Rhinolophus ferrumequinum: one gene and its partner. The protein of the gene in region 1 interacts with the protein of each later gene in a pairwise test. Links are inferred from orthologs where the notes say so. Each region holds a gene or a part of one and is shown on either strand. Other genes may lie near its edges.

Region 1 (7,069 bases):
GGAAGTACTGGCTATTATAAAGTATCTGGCACATTGGAAATGGTCGAAAACATTACTTCCTTTGCCTTTCTTTATATTACCCAGTTACTTACAATATAAAAGCTGTTCGTTCTATTTATCACAATAGTCCCATGCATTCTCTCTTACTTTGTGTTAGCTCTTGCCCACAATGCCTCTGCTATTTGTGTGTTAGTTGTTTGCCCATTAGGGCCTGTGTCTTTTAAACTAAAATGATATTATTTGCTTTAGCTAATAATCAAAGTTGACAAAGGTCCTCTACAATCTGTCACCACAAACATAGGCAAAACTTTTCTTTGTCATTTATGAATAAAACCGAAGTAATACTTTATCTGACACTAGAAATATGTTTCTAAAATCTTGAATATAGCAAAAACCTCATAATCATTCATTTTTTTTAAAGTGAAGAGCTGTTCCTAATTTTTTTCCTACTCCCATAATTTGTCTGAAAAGCAGCTATAAAGTAAATGATGACAATTTGCAATTACTTCCCAGGTCTAATTATTCCTAATTTATTAAAATATCCATTCATTCCGCCAACTGTTCTTCCCCTTCCTGTTTCCCCCAAGCTCCCTTTCTTCCCCATTCATCTCTGTCCCTTTCTTTTCACCGCCTCATATGCAACTAGCAAACGTTTATTGGGCACCTAAAACTTGCCAGCACTGCCCCAGGTATTCAAGGTACCATGCTGAGCAAAAAAAAAAAAAAAAAACAAACAGACATCATTTCAGACCTAAAAAAAATGTAGTCCAGTGGTGGAGACAGAAAGTACCTGATATTAATCAAATCAACAACAAATAAATGTAAGCTTACATCTGTGATTATCAATAGGTAATTAACATGCTGAGCAGTCGCTATGTATCTGGCATGGGCTAAGCACTTTAAATGTAAGAACTCCCTTAATCCTCCCACTATCCAATAGGTATTAGATATTATTACCCTATTTTACAGAAGAGGAAAGGCCAAGTTTAACATCTTGCCCAAAGTCACAGAGTTGATAAGTGAACTCAGAGAAATTTGGGTCTCAAAATAACTGGATTTCACCTAGCATGGGAAGTTAACAACTGAACTGAGATGTGAAGACTGTTAGCCTATGAGAGTGAAAAACCACCTGGGCAGTAGGCAGAGGGAAAAGAATGATCAAAACCCTGTGGAAGGCAAGGGTATAGAATAAACCAGGAATTTAAAGAGAAAAAGGACTGGAAAGGAAGAGAGAACAAGTTGAGAATATGCTATAATGGAAATAGCAGGAGGAGGGTATGCTGAGTGGCAGTGAGTGATCCAGGCAAAAAATGATGGTGCCAGCGAGGATGGAGGGAAGTAGATGGAGTTAAGAGATACATGTGCAAGTAAACATGTATCCTGAACATTCAGGGTGACACAGGAAGAATGAGTCCTCAATTGCTCAATTTCTGGCTAGCATAACTTAATGGATAATAGTGCAATTCACCCAGATAGAGAATACCAAGCGGCCCAGATTCAGAAAGATAGTTCTGATTTGGGACATGTTGAAATTTAAATGACTTTGAGGTATCAGGTAGGATAAATTAGAGTTTTGTCTTTCAGAGTAAAAGGTGACTCCGGACAAAGAAACTTGTGAGCAAGTAACATAGAGATGGTAATGAGGTTGTCTTGGAAGAGAGCCTTGAGTCAACAAACATTTACAAAGAGAAACCTGTAAATAGGATGTGAAAACCAGCCAAGCTGCGCCACAGAAGCGCAAAGAAGAGATTGTCACCAGAAGGAAGCAATGCTCAAGACTCAAATGCTGCTGAGCACTCTGATAAATTGAAAATTGAAGCATCTGTTGGATTTAGCCACTTGGAGGCACTGTGAATTTCAGCCCTAGTTATTTCTACAGTGATCATGGGGGTGACTGATTAAAGTGGGTTAATGGGTTGATGGAGGGCGGTTGTGCAACTCCAGTGGCTCTCAGAAGTCGTCCTTTCAGCTGTGCCCGGACATTCCAAGTCCTGCTGCCACTGTGGACAAGGCTCAGGTTCATTTCTCCAGAATCAACTAAGAAATGCTCTTTTCTGTGCCCCTGCTTAGTTCTTTCTAATTGTTTTTAAAATGGCAGATATGGTTTTGGTTTCATTGGAGCGATTTCTCATTGCCTCAGAGAGCGTGGCAAACCCGTATGTCCTCTATGTACTGCAGTCAGCCACACCCCACAACTCTGCAGCACCTATAAGAAAGTTCTGAAACAACCAGAATTCTAAACAGCCATGATTTAGCTAAAAGAGCAATATCCCTTTGCATTTTAGCAGTTTTGCAAGAAGTGTGGCTCTTTAGAATACCCCATCTAGTGTTTATGTTTGGTGAGCGTTGGCTTTCATGAATTCAACATGTATTGAGTGTCTACTCTGTGCCAAGCACTGGGGATACAGAAAGCAAGACAGGTCTCTGACCTCAATGCGCTGACAGCCTAGTGCAGGAGACAGACAAGCAGACCAGGGCACGGGGTCAGATGGACTACCTGGGCTTGAAGGCTCAAACACTTTCTCTGTGAAATCGGAAATGAAATAGCTGAAAACAGACAATTCTGGAGAAATTTGGCTGTGGGTGGGGGGGGAGGGAAGGAGACAGAGAATAGTCTCAGGAGATGGGGGGAGTCAACAGTTTATTTTGTTTCGTGTTCTTAAGCAGGAAAACGTAAGCATGTTTAAAAGACGATGGGAAAAATCCTTTCAAGAAAGGGTGATGATTCTAGGGAGTCCACCCGGCGGTTCCCCCCCACCCATTCCCGCTATCTCCTCCTTTCCTTTTCTCTTCCCTCTCGCCTCCAGCTCTTCTTCCCCTTCTCCAATCCGCACAGCCCCAGAGCCCACAACCACTCCGGCCCTCCGGCCCAGCTCGCAGGCATCTCCTCACCGCAATGGCCCCTTCGCTCAGGTGGCCCACCATGGCTCCGCCGCAACAACTCCCGCGCTTCGGCTGCGCTGCTGCCCAGGCTTCACCCGCGGAGTACGGCGCGCTCTAAGGCAATTGGCCCGAGGAGCTGAGTACGCCACTTCCGCCTCTTGTCGTTTACACGGCACAGGGGCGGGTCTAGGGGCTGAGCAGCCACCGCATTGGCCGAGGCGCGGCGGACGACCACGTGACCCTCCCAAGCCTAACTTCAGGCCTAGTCGCCGGATGGCGGGATCTGAGGGCACAGAGCCAGGCTACGGGACGCGCCAAGGTTGACGCGAGCGCCGCTAAATGAAGCGAGTGGAACAGTTCCGGGATCTTGGCGAGCGGGCTCTCGGAAACATACCCGGCTCGACTGGTAGCCCAGAGGAGAGTTAGAGCTGCTCCCTGATAACCCTGCTGCTAAATGTAGTCAAAGCAGTGACTTGATCCTGAGCTTAGCACACTTTCTGAAGGTAAATAAAACCTGGTTCCTGCCCTCAGAAAAGAACATAGGCTGTCGCGGGAGCTTCCGCTGTAAGTAGCCCTAACTCAAGGTAGACATGGTATGGGCCCCAGGAGAGAGACAAAGTATGCTGGAATCACACTGATGTAAAATCAGAAAAGGCTTCCCGGAGGAGGTGTCATTTGAACTGAGTCTTGACGGATGTGTGGAAATTTGCTTGGTGGACTCCAAGTGAGGGCAGGGATGAACCTGGAAAAATGAATAGCCTATGCAAAAACTGGAGTGATGAATAGCCTGGCAAGCTGGGGATGGCATTGAATAGCTCAGGATAGTAGTTACCTACAGAGGAGGTGAGACTTGAACATTAGTAAGCCAAGGGTCAAATAATGAAGGGTTTCTATGGGGCTTTCCTAAATGCTAGGAGGAGCATTGATGAAGTTAAGGCAGAGTACTGACATCTGTCTGAATGCAGAAGGATTAAATTGGGGTGGGGGGGGACTGAGGGTATGGAGATTAGTTACGACAGGCTGGAAAGAATGCCAGACAAGACATGGTGAAGGCTTGAATTAAAAGAATGACCTGGGGATTGAAAAAAAAACTGAACTCTGTAAGAGATATAAATATTTGTTAATAGTTGCTGGGGAGAGTGAGAAAGAAGAATCTGGGAGGTCTCTTAAGGTTTCTGACTTGAGCAACTAGGGTAGATGGAGTTCTAAGAGAACAAGGATGGTGGCTGTCAATTCACCTAGCGTGGTGCCTGGAACAAAGTAGGTTTTCAATAAATAATCTCTGAATGAAAGAATGTTGAGTGAATTGGAGAAAATATAGATCCTTCTTCAGCATGTAAACAACTATAGAAAAAGAGCACAAGAATTGATTATGTTGCTTCATGCTTGCTGGAATGAAATCTGGATTTTCAAAAATTGTGCATTTGTAGAAATCTAAATTCCTTACTTTCTTATTCATTTTGTAGACTTAAAGTAGCATGGATCTGCCCGTAGATGAGTGGAAATCATACCTATTTCAGAAGTGGGCTTTGCTCCCAAAGTCCATTCAGGTCACAATTTCTACAGCAGAGACTTTGAGCGATGTCTTTCTTCACACCTCTTCGCTTCTTCAGTAAGTTAATGAAAGCTTTAACCAGGGAAATTTTAATCTGGAAAATGTTCCCTTTTGTCATTTGCTCTCAAGTTATATCTCATTTTGATGGAAAGATTTTAAGTTTATTTTGTTTTTTGCATAAAGCATTTTGTCATTTTAATTTTTTTGTGTGGTCAAGTAACCCTATTTTATTTATTTTATTTATTTTTATTTATTTTTCATGAGTTTCAGATGTACAAAACAACATGATTAGACATTTATACCCCTCACAAAGTGATAACCCCAACAAGTCTACTACCCCTCTGACATCATACATAGCCATTGCAATACCATTGACTGTATTCCCTATGCTGTACTTTACATTCTGTGACTATATATATATACATTTAATTATAGTTGACATTCAGTATTACTCTACATCAGCTTCAGGTGTACAGTGCAGTGATCAGGCATCTACACAATCTATGAAGTGATCCCCCTGATAATTCCAGTACCCATCTGACACCCTACATAATCTTTACATTACTGATTATATTCTCCGTACTGTAGTTCACATCCCCGTGACTACTTTGTGACTACCGGTTTGTACTTTCTAATCCCTTCACCTTCTCCCTCCTACCCCCTCCCATCTAGTAGCAACCATCAGTTTTTTTTCTCTGTATCTCTGAGTCTACTTCTGTTTTGTTTGCTCGTGTATTCTGTTCTTTAGATTCCACATATGATTGAGATCATATGATATTTGTCTTTCTCAGTCTGACTTATTTCATTTAGACTAATATCCTCTTGGTCCATCCATGTTGTTGAAAATGGAAAGATTTTGTTCTTTTTTATGGTCGAGTAGTACTCCATTGTATAAATGTACCACAATTTCTCTATCTAGTCATCTACTGATGGTCATTTGGGTTGTTTCCATATCTTGGCTATTGTGAATAGCACTGCAGTAAACATAGGGGTGCACATATATTTTTTGAATTAGTGTTTTGAATTTCTTTGGATAAATACCCAGGAGTGGAACTGTGGGGTCATAAAGTAGTTCTATTTTTAATTTTTTGAGGAACCTCCATACTGTTTTCCATAATGGCTGCACCAATTTGCAATCGCACTAACAGTGCACAGAGTTCCATTATTCTCCACATCCTCGCCAGCACTTGTTGTTTGTTAATTTATTGATGATAGCTTTTCAGATAGGAGTGAGGTGGTATCTCATTGTGGTTTTTATTTGCATTTCTCTGATGATTAGTTATGTTGAACATCTTTTCATGTGTCTATTGGCCATCTGTATGTCCTCTATGAAGAAATGTTTCTTCATGTCCTTTGCCCATTTTTCAATTGGATTGTTTGGTTTTTTGGTGTTGAATTGTATGAGTTTTTTAAATAAATTTTGGATATTAACCCCTTATCAGGTGTATCATTGGCAAATATCTTCCCCCATTCAATAGGATGTCTTTTTGTTTTGTTAATGGTTTCCTTTGCTGGGAAAAAACTTTTTAGTTTGATGTAGTCCCATTTGTTTATTTTTTCTTTGGTTTCTTTGCCCGAGGAGATATATCAGTAAAATATTACTAAAGGTAATGTCTGACTTCCTATACTTTCTTCTAACAGTTTTATGGTTTGGGGTCTTACATTTAAGTGTTTAATCCATTTTGAGTTTATTCTTGTATATGGCAGAAGAAGGTGGTCCAGTTTATTTTTTTTGCATATATCTGTCCAGTTATCCCAGCACCATTTATTAAATAGACTGTCTTTACCCCAATGTAAATTCTTGCTTTCTTTGTCATAGAGTAAATGACCATATAGGCATGGATTTATTTCTGGGCTCTCTCTTCTGTTCTATTGATCTATGTGTCTGTTTTTATGCCAATACCATGCTGTTTTGATTTCTATAGCCTTGTAGTATACTTTGATATAGGTATCATGATACTTCCCGCTTTGTTCTTATTTCTCAGGATTGCCATGGCTATTCGGGGTCTTTTATAGTTTCATATAAATTTTAGGTTTATTTGTTCTAGTTCTGTGAAAAATTTCATTCGTATTTTGATAGGGATTGTGTTGAATCTATATATTGTTTTGAGTAATATGGACATTTTAACTATATTAATTGTTCCTATCCATGAGCATGGTATATATTTCCATTTATTTGTATCTTCTTTAATGTCTCTCTTTAATGTCTTATAATTTTCTGAGTATAGGTCTTTTACTTCCTTGGTTAAATTTATTCCTAAATATTTTTTTGATGCAATTGTAAATGGGATTGTTTTCTTAATTTCTCTTATAATTCGTTATTGGTGTATAAAAATGCAACCGATTTCTGAATATTAATTTTGTATCCTACTTTACTAAATTTGTTTATCAGTTCTAATAGTTTTTTTGGTGGAATCTTTGGGATTATATATAGTATCATGTCATCTGCATATAATGACTATTTTACTTCCTCCTTTACAATTTAGATGCCTTTTATTTCTTTTTCTCGTCTAATTGCTGTGGCTAAAACTTCCAGGACTATGTTGAATAAAAGTGGGGAAAGTGGGCAATCTTGTCTTGTTCCTGATCTTAAGGGGAATGCGTTTAGCTTTTCCCCATTGGGAATGATAT
Region 2 (5,128 bases), on another chromosome or scaffold:
TGCCACAGTGCTAGAAGGGAATCAAGTTCCCCTGCATAAGACTTTGTCAGACTTTAAACCGTTACTATTTAATGGAATTTTTAAAAATTCAGACATTAAGAATGATTGACAGTTTCTATATTGAGAAGGCATTCTCAATAAAAAGCCAAATAGTATGAAACCCTAGGGAATCCATTTCTCATTATTAACACATTGGTTTTTCTTTTTTTTTTTTTAATTCTATATCCTCTAATGATATGACTTCTGTCAAATGGGGAAAAAATGCTTTCCTTATTGTAGCTTCGATACTTAGCAGAAACAGTGTAATTTGTATGAACTTAGAAAATGGGACTCAAGCTAGAGTTTTAATTCAGAGGGATATGTCTGTAATATAGGAAAGGTAAGTTATGATTATGTGTATGCAGAATGTGAAACTGTGAGTTATTAGTACAATGAGTGTGTTGATATTTTCCTCCCAGCCTTTTCCTTAAACTACTTACATAGTTACGGCAAGGTGATGAAGCTCGAGAGCTGTGATGAAATAATGAGTTCTAGAAATAACCCCAAGTATATTGGAAATTAAGTTAAAAACTAGTCACTATCAGATAAATGCTTTTAATGACTTTTTAGGATTAATCTATAACACAAGACTAACAAAGTTAGAAAGGAATAGTTGGGAATTGGTGAATGTTTTAGACTAATTTCATTAACTAATGTGCTGATTGGAAACTATTGTTTTACATTTGAAAACCGTTTTCACCTGTTGTTTTTGAGATAGGCTGATATATTTCAGTAGATTTGAGTAATGTATAGCGTTTTCTATGACATTCTCTTCACTGTATTTTGTGAAATAGAACATAAATATCTTAGCTAGGAAAATTAATAAGATGATTTCTGAATGTTCATCTAGTGGGTGAAGGGGGACCAGCTACTGATAATCCTAATGCCTGCACTGTAAATTTGAGCATTCCTGTCAGTGATACTTTTTGCAACTCCAGTCCATGTTCAATTCAGGCCACGAGCACCCGCAGTATAATTTTCTTTTAAATGAGGCTGAGGGGAGTGTTGAGATAGACATAACATGATTTTACCGCATCAGTTCTATGACCACAAATTTTTGAGTGCCTAGCACTCTGCACGCATTTTCGTACAGTAAAATATTTACATATTCTATGCATTATCTATTCTTAAAAATAATACGTATATACTTATATTTTCTTTTATATATAGGGAGGGCTGAAAAACAGCAAACATGAATGCACCCTGTCTTCACAAGAATACGTTCATGAATTACGATCTGGTATTTCAGATGAGAAACTTCTTAACTGCCTAGAATCTCTGCGGGTTTCTTTAACCAGCAATCCTGTCAGGTAAGTGGCTCTTATTGTTTTAGTATGATTCATACAATTTGTACTGTACATAATTGTTGGGAGCGTAATCATTCATGGTATTTGAACCTCAAGATTTTCTTTTTTCTTTCTTTTTTTGGGGGTCAATTTCCTCCCCCCCTTGCACCCACTGCCCTCTGCATTCGAGGAGCTTTCTCTGCTACACTTGCCTTCCCTCCCTGCCTCTCTGTCTGCTCTCCCTCCCACTCCTTTGTCCCACCCTGCCCAGGCTGCCCGGCTCCTGCAGCCTCCCGCACCCCCACCCACCATCCATGTGGAACCTCAAGATTTTCTGACCAGAAGTCTGATGTTAGTTAATAGAACAGCAGTGTCTGATTATGAGGTTGTAAACATTTAACAAATGTAGTTAAAATCTGATCACTAATCGTGCAATTTTAAGAATACAAATATTACTTGGATGTTAATTCCTCTTTGATTATATAAACATGGATCTAGAAGTTAAATATGCACATTTACATGGAAATATGTGTACTCATATAAAGATTATATTATTTGTAAAACAAATTCAGTATATTGGCTCCATGATATTATTCCTTTTCAACTTGAAGTAAATACATTTTTACATTCTTCTACAAGTTTTAGATCCACTACTCATACATTTCTGTAATTTGGGATAGCAAAAATTAAATTATTTTGACCAATAAAAGAAATGAGAAAGTATTAATAAATTCATTTTGGCACATAATTAAATTGCTATTTAAAATTAAAATCAGAATTTATCATTTTTTTCACATTTAAAAAAAAGGGAAGTATTAATAAACTTCAAAACGCTATACATTTAGGCTATTACCTAGATACGAAGTATAACTGATGTTACTTTATTAAACATAAAAAGCCTTAAAATAATTATATCCCAAATTAAATGTTTCTATAAGGAAAGTAGATGTTCAGAGTACTATGAAAATAGTTTTGGATCTACTTACACAGTTGCTAGACTCTTAAATTCAAATTACTGGATAACAGTATATAGAAACCACATTTTGATTTTATTCATGTTTTTCCTAGTATATCGTGGGGGCCACATCTTGTACGTCTCTCACCTATCCACAGAGCCTTAAAAACAATTTAGAGCTCTGTCATTCCATTTGTATTCACGTATAATTTGAAATATATCATACTTCAGTTGACCCTTGAACAACGCGAGGATTAGGGGTGATGATCACCAACCAAGTTGAAAATCGGCGTATAATTTAAGTTAGCCTTCTCCATAACACGGATTCCAGACTGCCAGTTGACCCTTGAACCATGCAGGTGTGGACTACCGGGGTATAAGTGGCCCCGCGTTGTTCAACGGTCAACTATATTTATTTTCACCTATAGTGCATTTGGCAGAGTAATTGGGAAATTACGATTCTACAATAAAACATTTTAAAAGGCAGTGGTAAGATGTAACTTACCTTTCAATGTTAAAAAAGGTAGCGGTCTTGGCTATTTCTTCTAGAATGCTTCTGGTTTTAATAATTTGAACAAGGATGTGAGTTCTTTGAGAACAGTAGCCATGACGGTGGTCCCCCCTACCCCCTCGTCGTTCCCCCACCCACCCCGTCACCCTTGTTTCCCCGCCCCCCTTGTCTTACCCCTCTCCCTCCCCCCCCCGCCCCCGCATGCAATTTACAGCACACTACTGTCGTGCACTTACATGTTCCGGAATTTTTGTTGAATGGTTAATTGAGTGAATAAATGATTCTATAAGATGTGATTATAGAAGAAATATGCTTCTGGTTTTAAGATTCGAACAAGGAAGTGAGTTCTTTCAGAACAGTAACGATGGAGATGGTTCCCCCATAATCCCCTTCACACCCCCCATCCCCCCACCTACAGCGCTCTACCATAGTGCACTTAACGTGTTCTGAAATTTCTGTGGCATGGTTAACTGACTAAGACGTGACTAAAGAAGTATGCTTCTGGTTTTAGTGATTTGAGCAAGAAAGTGAGTTCCTTCAGGACAGTAACCATGGCGGTAGTACCCCTGTCATTTACCGCCACCCCCTACCCCGTCTCCTTCACCCCTTGTCCCCCTCATCTATAGCACTTTGTGTTCCGAAATTTCTGTTGGATGGTTAACTTGAGTGAATAAATTAATCTTTAAGAAGTGACTATTGAAGAAGTTGTGACATTTAGGAACGAAGAGGGGGGGGCTGGCAAAAAAGTATTTTTATATGATGGCAGGAAAGGCTGAAATTACACACGGGGCCTTTAAAATGCAGCCCAGCAAGCAGGAGCTGACTCCAAAGAATTGTGGGATCAGTCGAGAAGCTGGCAGGTTCTGATTGGCTGGAGGCACCTACATTCTGGAAGCTGATTGGCTCCACTGGTGGCGTAAGCTGCTGGTGTCGTCACAAGGCACGCATTCGGTGGTCGCCCGCAGCAGAGGTCGGAGCCTGGCCGAGGACCTCGCCGACTAGAGCCAGATCCCGCCACGTCGTCGGCCTGAGCTGTCCTTAAGATGAGTACGAATGCTTTTGAGAGCAGCGGCGGCTTCTCTGCTGCGGGTGGAGGCAGTGGGAGCAATGAGCACCCCTCTCAGGGCGGCGCCCCTCCTGCTGCGATGGCTCCGAGATCCAGGGCTCGAATCCGGGACATTATACCTTGTTGTGTAAACCAGCTGCTCACGGCCACTCTGGTCGACAATGTTTTCAAGGTCAGGGGAATAGAGGTTTCCCAGGTCTCCATCGTGGGGCTCATCAGGAGGGTGGACAGAGCTCCATACTACATTCTTTACAAGATTGATGATATGACCTCCAAGCCTATCGACGCCCGCCACTGGCTCGGCAGAGACAGAGCGAAGCAGGAGCTGACTCCGTTTCCGGCGGGAGTATATGCCAAAGTGTTCGGTATCCTCAGAGGTTCCGCCGAGGTGAAGAGCCTTGAGGTGTTGAAGGTCCGCATCCTGGAAGACATGAATGAGTTCACCGCACATATTCTGGAAACGGTCAACGCGCACATGATCCTGGCTAAACGCCTCCAGGAGGCCCCTGGGCAGAATGCACCTGTTGCTCCATCCAAAGTGGAGGAGGTTGCGGAGTGCGGCGAGTCCAACCTCGACTTCATCAGGAAGGAGGTGCTGCGCTTGATCCACGAGTGTCCTCAACCGGAAGGCAAGAGCGTTCACGACCTCCAGACCGAGCTTCGCAGCCTGGGAGTCGGCGCCCTCCAGGAAGCCCTCGATTATCTGATGGTGGAGGGTCACATCTACCCCACGGTGGACCGGGAGCATTTTAAATCTGCCGATTGAAGCGCGAGAAGGTTTTTCATTTTCCGAAGACCCTTGCCTCCAGCTGTGAAGTGTGTTTGACCTGTTGACTTTTAAGAAGTAGTTTGTTGTTTTTCCGACAAAAGATCTCAACTGGCTTCCTTTGGAACCTCACTGCTTTTCCAACCGCTTTGAACTTTTCTGTTTTATATTTGAACCGCAGAGGGAGATGCGATGGATACATTGATTGGACTTTTTGTAGGATTTACCAGCAAACAAATGAAAACACTCCTGATGGGGTGAATTTGAGGGAGAAAAGGTACAGAAAAAGTTAAATATTATTTAGTTGAAGGAGAGCGTCTTTTTTTCTGAAATATCTGTGTATTAGGAGAAAATAGGTGTAGTCATGGAGCCAGCTGAGAGACAATTTTTTTTTCTGTTGTTTTTATGTTAGACTTATTTTCTAAGTTTGGTTTTAGCTTATTATCGTCATTGTTATTTCTTGCTAAATATAGTGATTAATTCAAATGTGCTAAAGATAGCAATT

What was found. The genes of interacting proteins can lie anywhere in the genome.
Region 2: the proteins of RPA1 (region 1) and RPA4 interact in binary tests that used the Homo sapiens proteins (3 or more experiments, as listed by UniProt). The link is inferred for Rhinolophus ferrumequinum from reciprocal best matches to the Homo sapiens genes RPA1 and RPA4.

The regions. Positions count from the first base shown.
Region 1 is NC_046304.1:16,154,684-16,161,752, forward strand, and holds the start of RPA1 (replication protein A 70 kDa DNA-binding subunit), read right to left. Parts: upstream 3,029-7,069; 5' UTR 2,926-3,028; coding exon 2,893-2,925; intron 1-2,892. Other genes in the region: SMYD4 (SET and MYND domain-containing protein 4), read left to right, coding at 4,362-4,495. UniProt on the Homo sapiens protein: As part of the heterotrimeric replication protein A complex (RPA/RP-A), binds and stabilizes single-stranded DNA intermediates that form during DNA replication or upon DNA stress.
Region 2 is NC_046284.1:57,984,186-57,989,313, reverse strand, and holds RPA4 (replication protein A 30 kDa subunit), read left to right. Parts: upstream 1-3,834; coding exon 3,835-4,623; downstream 4,624-5,128. Other genes in the region: DIAPH2 (protein diaphanous homolog 2), read left to right, coding at 1,210-1,349.